2 linked regions of the Struthio camelus genome follow. The protein of the gene in region 1 binds, or shares a complex with, the protein of each later gene. Links are inferred from orthologs where the notes say so. Each region holds a gene or a part of one and is shown on either strand. Other genes may lie near its edges. The genes, in order: LRRC7 and CAMK2A.

Region 1 (7,687 bases):
GGGGGTAGGAGTTGCACTGGTCAAATTAAACTTATGTTAGCCTGCTTTTTAGTTTCTGTTAAAATGTTTTCTTCCTTTTAATCACACTTTTTTCACACCTCTCTGCACAGTCTCCTAAATTCTGCAGTACGCAGAAAGGTGTGAGGGACCATTAAAGCGAGGTCTGTTCCTGTAATCTGTCCCTTCTTCCAGTCCTCCCGCGTGTCACCGTTCCAGCACTGTGTCTGGAAGGTTTTTCATGGACTCAGAGATCTCTCAGCTTTTTTCTTGAAAAGGCCAGAAAATAGGTAAATGCTGCTGTATGCCCCAACCAGGAATCGAAGGCAGTTACTGTTTTGTAGTAGCTGACTGGGCTTTTAGTTACCGTCTGCCTTCACCTATTTAGAAAGAGGGCAAAAAACCCAACACCCATATACACCATAGCAATCCCTGACTCATCCACTCTTCCCGACCTGAACCGTAAAACCTCCAAAAATGAATTATTTTCCTCATTTAGAAATATATAAAGTAGCACTGGAGAGAGCTTAGTGCGACCAGAGGAAAAAAATATATGGAGAACTCTGTAGAGAAAATTCTCAAAGCTATGTAGCATCACCATTTATTAAAGAATTTTATTCTTAATAACTATTGTTTCTCCATATATTTCAGGCTTTTTAAAAATGAGAAAAAAATACTTTATTCCAGTCTTAGCCAGTTTTCAACCAGTGCTCTGATTGACCAGGCTGTCTTCCTGGCTAGTATAACTCCAACGGACCCAAGTAAAATCAGACTTGCAGAATTCAGTCAAGGAAGGCATCTCGTTTTCCAATACAATTTGCTGGAGGAATTTCGTTCTTTTAAAACTTTCATTAGCCAGATCTACAAATGAATAGAAATCACTGTGGAGGGGGGGTTATTTACCTGTGTAGGCCAGTGAAAATACATTGAGTTACACATCTTGAAGCCCAGGCTGTGTGCTTGTTCAGCTATTCAATTTCATTTTTGTACTGAGCAATGTTTAGGGATATGCCCCAGATCCACATTTTTTCATAAAGCAAATATTTGGGCCTCATCTTTATTTGTCTAGAGTTGGCATGTCTCCACTGAAGTTAGTTGAAATGAAACCAGTATGAAACTCATGTAAGACTAAGCAGAATCAGGATTTTGAATTAAGCAGTGATTCAGGATTCATGATGCTCTTTACGTGATACTCAACCACTTCCGTGTTATCCATAAACAGAAGTAATAACACATGTACAGTGATAATCACGTAACGAAAACATCATGCTTTTTTTCCCAGACTCCTTTGTACTCCCTGAGAGGGATGCAATATCTCAACCTAACCATATGCTATTTCTTTAGTGATTGTCATAGCCTAATTCCGGTTTTATTGCAAATGTATCCTTTTGCGCTGCAGTATAGCGGCGTAATGCAGCAGCTGCTTGTGACACAACAAAGTTTTACAAATATATGTGACTACAGTAATTCAGCTCTTGTTCATTTGGGTCCTGCTAGCCATAGTGGCTCTCGGCGCCGAAGGCAGCAGTGCAGAGAGGCAAGCACAAAAGCGCCAGCTGCTCAGCGGAGTAAGGCAGCCGGAGCTGCCCCGAGCGGGGCCGGGGAGGCCGCGGGTCAGCACTGCAGCTCCTCCAGGCCTCGTGGAGTTACTCGAGGAGCGATTCTTCAGCACCAGACACTGTCGGTAGTTAAGAAGTTGCCTACCTTGAATACGAGTGTGTAGTCCAGCTCCATGGCTCAGCAACAGCCATTTTCCACCTTTATATATTTAACTATGACACTTCAGAGTCTATCAAGTTACCCTCGTTTTCTTCATCCCTAAAGGTCCTGTATGAATCCCATTTCCCCTTCCAGTGTACAAATCATCCCCAGCTATGAACTCGGACCCTTTCCGTTACTGCGGAGTCAATGGATTTCTTCCCCGCGCTGGGTTTCGGGTACAGCTGTAACCTCCCAGCCCCGGCTGCTGCAGGAGTCGACGAGGGCGCGCTGCTGCTCTTCGGCCCGGGCAGAGCCGCAGCTTTGGGAGGCCAGCGCTCGAGCCTGGATAAGGCAGCGTCAAACATCGGAAAGCGACTGCACTGAATTTTGTTTCATGAGGGGCATATACAGATGGGTAGGGTTACAGCTACTGCTGTCGTGCAGAACTTGTCACTTACTGCTCTTGGGGCTGCATCGTGAGCCCGCCTCGCTAGTCGGAGGGATGAGCAGGTCCCTCGCCACAACCACAGCAGAAACGTTAGGACTCGGGTGGCTCCTTCGGGCACTGCACGCTCCTGCGCTGGCGATTTCGGCCCCTGGCCTGATGGGCAAGAGCTGTGGCCACTGAAATTGGAGCTGCTCCCCTCCGCTGCCTCTAGCAGAGCTGGGTTTTGCCCAAGCAGGCAGGCAGTCTGTCCAGGGTCTCGCGCTGGTTGCCATCTCTGCAGCATCTCCCCACCGCCCTGCATGTCTGCATGTCTTGCATTGATGAAAATGACCCTACAGTACATTGCAATGACTATTCATAGACAAAATTGAGGATGGAAGAGCAGGAAACGCCATTGCAAAGGCCATGGGAAAAACACAAGAGGCTCAGGAAGGTCTCCAATAGGAGACGATAGGATGATAATTCAGGGCTGGTGTCTGGAAGAGGACAGTCTTGTTATTAATGCTGAAATCTCAGTCTTGTGGAGCAGGAATTAAAGCCCTAACTTTAGAGCTGGACTACCCTTACACGCCCCTTCTAGGGCCATCGCCTTCGTGGGGCCTTGATCCTCTCCTCATCTCCGGAGAACCTGCATTGTTCCTGCTTCTCCCTGCTCTGGCTGCAGCTCTGGCAAGGCAATGCCTGAGGGTTTCTCCCTCTCAACGCTTGCCGTTACCGGGCAGAAGGATCCAGCTGCCTTTTGTTGGTAAGGAGAAGAGTTTTCCAGGCGTTTGCCGGTTCCAATGCTTTTTATTTTGCAAAATCTTGGAGATGTTTCACAGGTTTTTAGAGAATGTATGAGAGGAACTCCCTGCTATAACACACCCTATGCTCTCGTGGTGCGGCCGATCTCGCGGGGGATAAATCTGCATCATCTGCCTAGCAGAAGCTGCCCCTGACATGCCCTCGTCGCTCCCGAGTGGGCTGGCGTTGGCCTTCCCCGGAGGGCCGGAGCCTGTCTGTCCCTTGGCCGAGTCCCCAGCGGTGTGCGACGCTCGTTTCTCAGTGCGGTAACTCCACGAGTGCCCCAGGCCACGGGCAGGACTCGGCTTGGCGCTGGCTAGACCCGCGGAGGCCGCAGGGGCGGCCGGCTGCGTGCAGCGGGGGAGATGCATCCTGCCTTCCTGGGGCCGCAAAACCCCAGGAACCAACCTGGAGAAAACGCATGATAACTAAAGCCTCGTAGGGTTATAGAGTGCAACTAACTGGGGAAACAAACGCTTTGTTGCTGAAGTTGAAGACTGCATCCCAGGCTGGAATGAAACCGTTCAATAGCTGCTTCGGAATAGGCAAATTTTGGTGGAGCAAAGCTATCTGGGGCCAGATTTCAGTTCCCACTCCAGTCATCCAGGCGAACAGGAGGGCAGGGGAGCGTCCGCGCCAGCTGCCTTCCCGCGGGAGGCGTTCGACCTCCGCCGCCCGCCCGCCCGCCACAGATGCTGTCAGCGGGAAGAGCTTACCTCTGCCGTGGGGATTAGCCACATCGAACAGGGATGAAAACCTCTGTACCGGGCATTAAGTCTCTGACGATTCTCTCCAGCTCCTAATAAACGCTTTCCCTCTCTGATGGCAGAAAGCTGCCGTACTGCCGGGCAAGTCGGGTTGGGAACTTGCCCAGCAAAGTGCGGCCCACCGACTGCCCCGCTGCCGGGAGCCTGCGGCACGCTCACCCCGGGGCTGCTGCCGGCTCCTGCCCGCGAGCCGCCCCCTGCAACACCCGCGACGGGGAACGTTTGAAACCTCCGAGAGGAGCAACGGAGGAGGTGGACAGCAAATGTTGAACGCCAGGTGCGAAGCAGGCTTTGCAGAGAGCCTGATGTTTGCCCCGCGATAACTTGCCGGCTGCAATAACCGCTCCGCAGCGCGCCAACGAAGCTGCACAGAGAACCCAGCAACGGCCAGTAACTCCAAACGTGCACCGATATGACACCAAGTCATCTAACGTGAGTAAGCGAAGGTCTGACGCGCGCGACCTCTTGCTGCCCGCCGTACTGACGGTCCGCTCGGGGGCCGCAGCAGGCCACCCGCGCCGGTGTTGGCCACCCCGCTGCCCCGGGGCTGAGCCCGGGCACCCTCCCCGCGGCAGCCCCAGGCGGGGCCCGGAGGCCGGGGCCGAAACGCAACTTCGTGCAGGTGCCGAAACCGGCTCCCGCCGCCGGCCAGGGAAGGGGCCGCGGCGCCCCGTCGGGGCAGCGGGCGGGCGGGCGGGCGGCGCCGCCGCGCAGCGCAGCGCGGGCGCGCAGCGGGCCCCGCCCCGCGCCACCGCCGCCGCCGCCTCCGCGTCCGAGCCCGGGCACCGCCCCGCGGCGCGCACGGGGGCGGGTCCTGCGCGGCGCGGCGCGGCCGGCGGCGGGCGGCGAGCCGCGGGCGCGGGCAGCCCTGGCGGCGCCCCCGCACGCTCCGCGCCCCCGGACCGCGGCTCGGCGGCGCATGGACGCGCGCTCCCGCCTGCACCGTGAGTACCGCCGCGGCCGGGGGGCGCGGGGCGCGCAGGGGGCCGCGCTGCCCCGGCGGCCGCGGAGCCGCCGCTCCTCGGATCGGGGGCGGCAGCCGGCGGAGCGGCCCCGCCGGGGCTGCGCGGGGCGCGGAGCGAGGCGGCGGAGCCGCGGCAGCACTTGCGCCGGGGAGGCGGCTCCCGCGGCGCCGCCGGGGCCGGGCCCGGCGCCCCTGCGGGCTGCGGGAGCGGCGCGCCCGCCTCTCCCGGCGGCTGGGGCGCCGCGGTACCGCCGCCTCGGGGGGTTTCCACCCTCACTGCCTTTCACCTCCCTCAACTAAGCCCTCGAGCTCGGCAAAGCTCCTGGAAAATTCTGCGCCCTTTCCAGCGTTCCCACCTTGCGCGGGAGCATCGGCGCCCGGCGGAGGCATGCGGAGGGGCAGCAGCGCGGAGCCGTCGCCTTCCAGCGGCCGGGGCGCCCCTCGCGCCCGTGGGGCTTAAACGCCGTCAGCTCTCTTCCGACACCGTCGGGTTTTTGCCTCTTGACCGCCTGGAGGAAGGGTAGCGTGTGTTGGAAGTTGCTTGCTTGTAATTCAAGAGCCGTAGGACAATAGGTATGAGCTCATCCTTATTCCCGTTGAGTCTGGAGGACACCCCCGGGACCCCGGCGCGTGCCGGTGGGCCGCAGGCGCGGGGCGTCGGGGCCCGCAGCTCCCCCGCCGCCGGCCGGGGTGCCGGCGCGGGGCGCGAGCACCGAGCGCCCGGCGAGATGGCCGGGCTTGGCCAGGGTTTGTCTCCGCGGCTGGACTGGTGAAGGGTCGTGTCAGGGAAAGCGCCCTTGGAAGTTTCTTGGTTTTGGGGAGATAAAAATAATATATACCTTGGCTATTTCTAGGCTGCCTATTGCTATAATTAAATCATTTTTTCTTTTGTACGTCTCTGATCTTCAGCTAAAAGCTTGAGCCACGTGCCACTCTTGATTTTTACCCTGAGGTGTTCTGGGTGCTTTTGGTGTTTAGGGATAGATAAATGCATTTTTCTCATTGTTACGCGACGAGAGAAGTGACTTAATCTCGTGGATTTTGCTCTTACGCATCGGCTTACTGTGATACCCAACCGAGAATGTATGCTTGCCATGGCAACCTCTAGATTACATATTACAGCTACTCACTTGGAAGTAGCAAGACTTTCTTAAAGAAATATGAACAGCAGGCTGATTTCAGCATCTACATAATTATAAATAAACTGTGTATGTTGGAAAACATGACCTCTTTGATAAGAACATTAATGCTGCTGCAGTTCATAAGTAGGTTTTTATGAGAGGGAAAGGGAGTCGGACTTCGGAGAAGGTCATGTATTCTTCTTTCTGTGCAATACCAGTGAAAGAAGGTTTCTTTGTTTTCAAGCAGTCTGTACTTTAAAAGCTGTTTTAATTTAGTGATCTTGTAATCAGATATCTTGATGTGTCATGATAGCTTGATGCCCATTTGAACTTTAACCTTTGCTAAAGCTTGACGTGGAAAACTGTTTCTCAGTCACGCAAACAGTAATTTTTTTCTAATATCTCACAGAGGAGGAGCTTTTTTGTGTGGTTTTGTTATACAAATGATGCGCATATTTAAAAAAGGCTTTATATTAAACCAATTTCTGCAGATAATCGTTAATAATTGTAAATGATATATCAACTGTTTAACAAGTAAGGAACAGCAGGTAAAAAGCAACTGTTTCTTTCTGCGGAGCCTGGCTGCAGGCAGCTGCTCGGAAGATGGCAGGAACAGTGTTTGTGGCAACTGTGGGAGCCCATCAAAGGAAGGAGTCGCGTGTGCTGATGAGCAAATTCTTCACTCCTTGGTCCCATAAGAATTTATCAACACTTTTTAATCATTGATTAAAATTTTTTTTAAGTAGTAGACGCTTGTGAAAGGCATTTTAAAAGGAAGATTGTCCACTATCTGGAATTTCAAGACAGCGGTGTGTGCTTGCCGTTAAAGCCACAAAACTTCAGATTAACAAGGAATTAATTGCCCTTGAGGTATGTGCATCAGTACAAAGTGATGGTTGTGTGCACTGGTCTTAAAACGGACGCCAGGGATGGGAAATACTGCAGTGCACTGAACTTCAGCCTAAACCCAGAAAATAGGGATTAACCCACATATGGAAGCAGGCAGCAGACAGACACTCGCCCACCCCGCCGCCTCGCAGAGCTCCCGGCGCGTGCGGGCGGCCGGAGGCTGCGTGTGCCCGCCGGGGGCTGTGGGGCAGCTCTGCGCCCGGCCACACGCCGTCCCTGCGGTTTTTGCCCTGGCCGATGGGGTTCGCCGATCGGATGCGAGGGGGCCGTGAGACGGATGCTGTTTCCCAGGAGTTGCCATTTAGCGTCTGAGACTGCCGATAGGAGTGGAGGGCTGATGATGTGCAGTGAAGGTTGGATAATGCTTCAGAAATGGTGAATTTTAGTGTACTACGCGTTCAACTAATACAAAACCCTGTAATGGTGTGACTTACCCGTTCACGTGACTGACTGTCCAGTATAAGAAAAAATGTTTTCCTTTACGTGAGAGTGTATTAATCCATCAGACTAGTGTAGACGCTTGGCAAAGAAGATGGCCCATTGTATAGGTATTTGAAAGTGCGTATTGAAAACCGTGTGAAATGTAATATAGAAAACTATACCAAAAATATTCGATGCTGCTTTATGATACAAACTAACAACCCAGTAGGACTAAGCTGAGCACAGACTAGGCCCCCAAATGTTGTATTAAGCTCTATTTAAAGATCTCCTAGAGCCACTGCGCGTCTTCAGTTTTCATCTGGCCTCTCTCTAATTTTAGTGATTTCTGTAGGCTTTAATTTGCTGGCATGGCAGATTGCATCAAATCCTATGAAAAGTCCTTTAGAACTGCTAGTTTTTTATCCGTTTTTTTTTTTTCTGGGAGTGCAGCAATTTGTTGACAGCAGATAAGTCCTAAGTGTTTTAGTGCGCATCTTCGTTGGTCGGATATGTGCTTTTCAGCTCGACTGGTTTAAACGTTACGGAAAAAGTCAAAGGTAGAGATATAACGGTCAGG
Region 2 (7,364 bases), on another chromosome or scaffold:
GACACCTCACTGCCTCTTCTGGGACAACCCCGTCCCACCGCTGCTTATTGATGGCTCCTGGGATAGCACAGCGCAGGGCAGCTCCAGGCATGGGGAGAAACGAAATGATGTGCCAAGATCACGTGTTTTGGAACAGTTCAAGCCCCTTAAGATGCCTGTAAGCTCCGGCTGCAAAGGGGTTAAGGCAGCCGGTGGGCGAGACGCTGCCAAGCTGGCTGTGGAGCTCTTTGCCTTGCCGGCGATGTTCGCACCAAGGAGATCTGTTTACACAGACAAGCTGAGAGCTCTCCTCACTCCTTCCCTCCCGCTCTTGAAAAATCAGCGCAAGCCAAAGTCTACTTAAAATCCTGGGCTGGGAGCTGAGTGCGGGGCAGATTCCCACGGAGGCGATGGGGAAGGGGGATGCATGTGGGGTCGTCAAGGCAGGAAAGTACATCTCCTTATAACTGCCCTCGTGGGAGGGCAGCAAGGAGGGCACATGCCGTGGGCAACTCATGCCGAGGAGCGGATGGTCCAGATAAGGGGGTTGTATTTGCAAGGGTGGTTGCATCCTCTCTCCTACCAGGGGTTCGAGGATATGAGGTTTCCCCGTGGCAGAGTGGAGCTAGCGTGCAAGGGCAAGTGATGGCCCAAGAGAGCCGCAGGGCGCCTGGTGGCAGTCCCCACGCACCCAGCATCCTGCCTGCAGAAGGCCTATTCCTGCGGGTCTCCAGCCAAGGACCCTGGTGTCCAGGGAAGAAGTGGCCCTGGGGACACCCCCTCCCCACCAAAAGCTGAGCTGCTGTGGGGCAGCAGGAGGGAGCAGCAGGGCCTGCAGGGACAGGGCACATTTGAAAACACAACCTTAAATGTAAATCTGTTCTCCTTGCCATGGTATTTATAATCCTTATCTAAAAATAACCAAGAATTCAGCTTTCCAGAGGACATCAACTGAGCATCCCCCAGACCCCAGCTTGCGTGTGAAACTGTCCCAGTAATTTTGGGATCTCTGCAATATGTAAATCGCAGCTCCGCTTGTTTTGCATGTGAGACATAACTGCAGGCTCTCTTAGGCCCGCGTAAGCCCCTGTCCCCTGGGAGGAGGGGGGTCCTGCCGCAGCCCCCCCCGGGCAACGCTGCTGCTCGCTGAAGGCTGAGCCGTCCCTGAGCCCCACGGGCCAGTCGCCCGTCTCGTGCCTGGCGGGCGGAGGGGCAGGACGCAGCGCCCCGGCCCGGGGGGCTGAACGGGGGGACGTCCCCGCGGGGAAGGGCGCAGCCGAGGCCCCGCGGCTTCCCCGTTTGCAGCCCAGCCGGGATGCGGGCACTGGACAGCGGGGCGCGGAGCCGAAGGGTGCGCGTGGGCGAGCAGGAGGCGTTTCTGGCGAGGCAGCCAGGGTGATGGCGGGGAGGCGCTCGGGAGGAAGGTCTCCATCAGGCGGCGAGAGCCCAGCACAGCAGCAGAGAGGGGCCTGCCGGGAGCTCCAGAGCCCCGCAGCGCGACCCGGGGCGGCCACGCAGCTCGCTCCAGCCGCCCTGGACAAAAGACCGCGGCGGGCTTTCCTAAGAGAGATCCCGAGACCGCCGCGAGGGGTCTGGGACTTCTCCCTGTCCCCGGGGGTGGGGAGAGACCTCCTGCCGGCAGCACCCAGCCCCAGGTGGGAAAGGTTCCCCCCCAAAACGCCTGCTTCGCTTCATGTCTTCCCCAGGAAATGGGGAGTTTAGCGAAGCAGCGTTGCCCATGGGGGAAAATTTCAGGGGCAACTCAGAGCATCTTCAACCCGCCGAAACCTAAGACCCACCCCCCCCACCCGGCGAAGGAAAAACGCTGATGAAAAAGGAAAAAAATGGGTGGGGAAGAGGTGAGCAGGGGAGAAACCCTTGGCCAAGCGGCACCGCTCTGCGGGGCGGGAGCAGCCTCGGGGCAGAGTCCGAGCCGCCCAAAGGGGCTTCGCAGCGCAGCTCCCTGCGGGGCTCTCGGCCGGCGTCGCCCGCGTGCCGGCTCCGCGGGCAGCGCGGCGCGCGGGCGCGTGGGCACGCGCGGAGGCGGGCGGGCGAGCGAGCCGTGCGCGTGCGGGCGGGCTCCTGCCTCCCTCCGCTCCGAGTGGGCTCCCTCGCGGCAAAGCCCTGCAGCTCGCCGTGGGATTTGGATGGCGAGAGGAGAGGGGGGTCTTGAGGCAGAGGGGGGCGTTTTGGGGACAGCGCATACTCCCGGGACACAGGTCACACGGAAGCGTCGGCTTCACCCAAAACCGCGGTGCCGGCGGGCCCGGCTCGCTGTCCACAAGCGGCCGCACGGCCAGGGTGGGTCAGGAGGCCGGCAGCCCCCAAGGAGACAAGTGAGCCTCCGTGCCATCTCCACCATCATTTAAGCAAGCAGCATTGGTTAGTCACCTCAGAGGCAAAAACGCCCGGGAATTCGGCCCCGGCTGGGCAGGGAGGCTGCGATGGCCCCCGTCTCGCCGGTGCACCGGGGCACGGAGCGGGAGGCTGGAGCGCGGGAAGGAAAAGGTGGGTATGAAAGTGGGTAATGGTGCAATTAATGGAAAAGCCATTAGACCTTTCTCCTCCTCCCCCTCCTCTTCCTCACTCAGCCACTTGCTGTCCTCCTCCACTTCCACCTCCTTTCTTCTCTCCCTCTCTCCGCCCCTCCTTCTCTCTCTCCTCTCGAAGATTTCTCCCTATTTTTGTCTGGTTAGAGCCTTTTCTTTTCCTTTTAACCCTTCCATGGCAGCCTGAAAGGGAACTAAATCAATCTCGTCTGCCAAAAGCAGTTCCTTCCCGGCGGGCTGCGGGAGGCCTTGCTGCAGCGGTCCTTTCCCCTCTCCCGCGGCAGCGGGGGCTCCTCCACGCTGCTCCCTCGGCAGGATGGATAGTCCTGCCAAAATGTCCAGAAACTAGAAAAATACTTGGAAGAAAACTCCCCTGCGGGGGGGGGGGGGGGGGGGGGTCAGACAGGCACAAAAAGGCCCGAAGCCGGGAGGGTGTCAGGGGACAGGGTCAGGGTCGATGGACCTTTGGGGCAAACCCATAGGGGTAAATCTGGACTCAAAAACGGAAGGGATAAGGATACTATGGCATTGCCTGGGCTTGGCGGCCTCGCCGTGCTGCGAGCCCGGAGCAAACCCCAGCAAGGAGGAGGGTGGCGGGGACGAGCCGGGGGCCGGAGGAGAGGGTGCTGGTGCCGCATCGGCGAAGAGCCCCAGGCTGGCTCTGGCAGAAACCTCTCCCCCAGGGCCTCAGGTCCCAGGGCTCACTCCTTTTTTTTTAATGTTCTCTCTCTTTTTTTTTTAAGCATTAGACACCCAGGGGCTTGACTTGCCGTTATTTGCGAGACGCGTCCTCGGTGGATTTTCGGCTCCGTTTGTGACCTTACCATTAGAAGCAGCCGGAGACTGAAATCTGAGCAGCTGCGGGGGGGGATGGCAGGGAGGGCTGGGTGGCACAGATATAAAAGGCTTTATTCTTAATTCACATGCTGGAGAAACACTCGGGAGAAAGGCTCCCGTGCTGCCATGCCCCGGTCCCCACCCTGTCAAAGCCTCCTCCAGCGCCTCAGCCGGCAGAGCGCCCGCTGGGAGGCTTTAAAACAAAAAGGGAGACCTTCCTCCTCCAAAATCCCTCCCCACCCCGCAATCTGCTCCTGGCTGGACATTGCAGGGAAATGAAAGCCCAAAAGCGTTTCTTCCCCGGGGGCGGCGCGGCGGGCGCGGGGCGCTTGGGCAGCGCGGGAGCCGGCGGCGGTCCCGGCCCCGCTGGGCACTGCGCCCCCCCTCGCCCGGCGCCCGGGTGGCCCCGGCCGGAGCCAGGGGCCGCAGGCGGCAGTGGCCGGGGCTGGGGGTGCAAAGCCGTTGCCGGGGTGATGGCAGCCTGTCCGTCCCCTCCTGCAACATGGAATCTGTGGTTTCCATGGAAACCTGGGTTTGGGGGTTTTTTTTGGTTTTTTGATTTTTTTTTGTTGCTTCCTTGGGGGGGGGGGGGGGTTGCCCTAATTCTTCTTCTGCCGCCACATCCTTCGGTTTGCCTTTAACGTTTGCGTCTTCAGCTTTGCCCCCCGCCGGCGAGCCAGCGACCCCCAGCCCGGCAGGGCCTGGTCCCCGCGGCGCCGGCCGAGCCCCGCGTTTTGGGAAGCAGTTGCCCCGGCAACAGAAACAGGGCGTTTCTGGCAGAGGTGGTCGCCATGGGGACGGGGATGCTGACGAAGGCTTGCGAGGCTGAGAAGACAAATTGCCCTCATCATTATCTCCGGGCTTGTCAATCAAACATATTCCCTTATTTACCTCGGCGAGGAGAGAGCCCCGGGAGCACACGGAGAGGGAGGGAGTGAGAGGAGAGGCACTCGCACCGAACTCGGCGCCGGGGAGGGAGCGCTCCCAGCCCCGCGGCATGGCCACCATAACCTGCAATCGCTTCACCGAGGAATACCAGCTCTTCGAAGAACTGGGCAAGTAAGTTGGAGACGGGGCTCGGATGCTCCCCGGCCGCCCGGAGCGGCAGAGGGGCTTCACCCGGCTGGGAAAAGCCTCGGGAGCAGCCGCGGGGGAGAAAAGGCACCGGGCTCCGTCCGTCCGCCCGCCGGGGCTGCTCGGCGACGGGCCGTGCCGCGGCATCGCGAGCGGTCCGGGGAGGGGGCTGCGGGAACGGGACCCCTCTCGCGGAGGAGAGACCCCAGCTCCTCGGAGAGGCTGCTGCCGGGGCACCTGGCAACTTGCGCAGCTGCGAGGAGGGACGGGACAGCGGAGAGGCGAGCCTGAGCCACTGGTGCCCCCCGCGTTTCTTTAGGGAAATCCTCTGCGCCAGGTTCCCCGGGTGCTGTGGGAGCCCCAACCCGCTCAGCAGCTCCCGGAGAAAGCAGGCAGCGAAGCCAGCTGCCATCCATCCCTTCCACATCCCCGGCGCTTGCCGAAAGCAGCTCCGCAGGGGCACCCCGGTGTGCGAGCACCCCGCGGGTGAGCCATCGCCCAGCCCTGCCGCGGCTTTGCTGCCGGCGAGGGCTCGCCTGGCGGGGGTTGGTCACGGTGCCTGCACGTGCAGGTCTTTGCCGATCTGGGTGCGCGTAGGTGCGCATAGGTGCGTGCGTGCAAAGAGAAATGTGCCGGTGCACAACTGCCTGGTGGGCTTATCCTGCGGGGTGCTGAGCACCCCAGGGCGGAGCAGCAATTCAGGTCGCCCGTGCGGGCAGAGGGATGCTCCGCATCGGAGTGCGTCTGCATGCACGGGTGAGCAGGCGTGTGTCTGTGTTTTGGTTTCTGTGCCTCTTTTTCAAAGGAGCATGTAAATCTGGGGCGTTTGGCTGCTTTTCCCTCGGAGGGGCTCCCCGAGAGCCTTGCGTGTCACGGCTTTGTCTCCGAACTGGGGGGGGTGTATCTGCCGGATGCCAGAGCGCATCTGTTTCGAATGTGCAGTTATGTCCATCTGTAGGCATGGAAACTTGCTCCAGCCTTGCATGCCTGCATTGCACAGCGCAGGGTGAGCCTGTGCCTAAATCGGTGCCCGCGCGCCTGCGTGGGTGTGCAAAATGGGGGAGAGCAAGAAAGGAGAGGACAGAGATGGAGAAATCAAGGGGATAAAATCAGGGAGGACTTTGCACCAGGTTAAATGCGGTTATTATTTCCCATCCAGATAGGGGGACCAGGTTGCTGCTAGAGACCAGTGCAGCTCCTTGGAAGCGAATGGACCAGGATGTGCAAATGTGGCTTTATGTCCCCTTGGAGACAGGTCAGCCGCGCAGTGCCCCAGCGTGTGGTGCTTTTCGCCCAGCTTGGCAACTGCGTCATTGCTGGGGTGAGGTGCTGGAGCGGAGCAGTGAGTCAGTGGCCAGGTCTCCGTAGCACGGGGAGGCCGTGCCGGCACTGCAGGCAGGGGGGCGAGCACCCTCCGCGGAGCTGGCAGCAAGCTGGGGTTTGGGACCTGCTGTTTCCAGAGGTTTCGCAGCTCTTCCGAGCTCCGAGACGCTGCGAGCATGTCACGGGGTGGGCAGGAGAGGTGGCAGCTGAAGGTGCTGAGATACCACTTGGTGGCATGGAGGGAAGTTGCTGGGAGCTGGCTGGGCAGAAATAGTGTGAGGGGCCACAGACAAGATGCTGTCAGCAAAGGTGTGATGGGGAAGGGCCGGAAGAGCTGCTGCATTGAGGGTACAACTGCTTTGCTAGGCAGGCACGCGACACAGCGGGGTGCGAGATCAGCGCGGAGCCCGAGCAGTTCCCAGAGCCCCAGCCGGCACCACTGTGACGGACCATGTTGAGAGCTGCATTTCTGCAAGTACACAAATAAGCAGGCTGACAGCAGGGGAAAGCCAGGATTTGCACAGCTCATCCCAAACCCTCAGCCAAGCTCTGTGAGCCAGAGAGATGCAGGCCCTCGCCAGCTCCCAGGAGCATCTGTCCCTGCCGACAGGCAGCTCTAACCTCTCCCTCCTGCTGCGGCCTGATTCAATTAGAGAGCGGTGGTGCAGTGGCAGAGCTGCTCATTCTCGGTGCTAAGGGGAGCTGCTTGAGCTCAGAGCATCCTACTGATTTTTGCCTTAGCTGGAAAGAGGCAGATGCCACTGTAGCGCTGAGACATGCTCCCGAGTAAGTTATAGGCCTCGGTGGACTTTTCTGGGCTCACAAGTCAGTGCACTGTAGAGCTGGTGGGGAATTTTCCACTGGGATGGTTTCCAATGCATCATGTGGTTTCTGCAAAATCAGCGGTTTCCCAGTGGGGAAATTCCCATTTTGTGGGCTCGGAACAGGAAATCCAGATGAAGTGTTGTACCTCTCGAGTGAGAGCGTGCTCCTTCTGCCTCGTCAGTCCGGTGCCATGAGCTCCACAGTGGGGAATGACGTTCCTCCCAGACACTTTGCTCGCCCCTCCAATGAGCTGCTCCCTGCAGGGCTCCGGACCACAGGGCAATGGGAAAGATTGGGCTAAATCGAGGGGGAATCACAGCAGATGCTGCTGGGCAAAGAAGTGTGGCCAGCGAGGCCAGGAAAGGACCTCCTCAAGGCATGACCCTGGGGCTGGGGTGATTCACGGTACCCGTTGGCACCCCAAAGAGGAGCAGCATCCCAGAGGAGCTGCGAGGCCACAGAGGTGAAAGGCTGCACCTCGAGTCTGCTGGCAGGGCAGCACAGCCGCAGCCTCCTGGGTGCCCCAGGGTGGTCCAGTGAGCCGCTGGGGTTGACGCGGGGCATCCCTGAGGCAGCTGCCAGGAGGAGAGCTGGAGGGAGCTGGGGTGACAACCTCTGCACTGCTGGCCTGCTGGGAAGAGCGAGAACTCATCTCCTATGGTCCAAGCGTGATGGGGAACCCTAGGGAGGGAGCAAAGCCAAACAGTGGAGGAGCGGGTTGGCCACGAGCAGTTTTCTGTCCTAAAAGGGACCTCAGGGTGCCAGCAGACCAGGAAG

What was found.
Region 2: the proteins of LRRC7 (region 1) and CAMK2A are in contact, whole or in part, in a crystal structure (PDB 6X5G), measured with the Homo sapiens proteins. The link is inferred for Struthio camelus from reciprocal best matches to the Homo sapiens genes LRRC7 and CAMK2A. Residues at the interface, in NP_001357714.1 of Homo sapiens: His843, Gly844, Arg845, Arg846, Pro847, Leu848, Ile849, Arg850, Gln851, Asp852, Arg853, Ile854, Val855; in NP_001350919.1 of Homo sapiens: Glu96, Phe98, Glu99, Ile101, Val102, Lys137, Glu139, Leu159, Phe173, Ala174, Gly175, Thr176, Pro177, Gly178, Tyr179, Leu180, Ile205, Gly209, Tyr210, Pro211, Pro212, Phe213, Trp214, Tyr222, Gln224, Pro233, Glu236.

What each region holds. Positions count from the first base shown.
Region 1 is NC_090949.1:37,447,106-37,454,792, forward strand, and holds the start of LRRC7 (leucine-rich repeat-containing protein 7), read left to right. Parts: upstream 1-4,542; 5' UTR 4,543-4,615; coding exon 4,616-4,640; intron 4,641-7,687.
Region 2 is NC_090954.1:7,423,599-7,430,962, reverse strand, and holds the start of CAMK2A (calcium/calmodulin-dependent protein kinase type II subunit alpha), read left to right. Parts: upstream 1-4,213; 5' UTR 4,214-4,362; coding exon 4,363-4,424; intron 4,425-7,364. UniProt on the Homo sapiens protein: Calcium/calmodulin-dependent protein kinase that functions autonomously after Ca(2+)/calmodulin-binding and autophosphorylation, and is involved in various processes, such as synaptic plasticity, neurotransmitter release and long-term potentiation.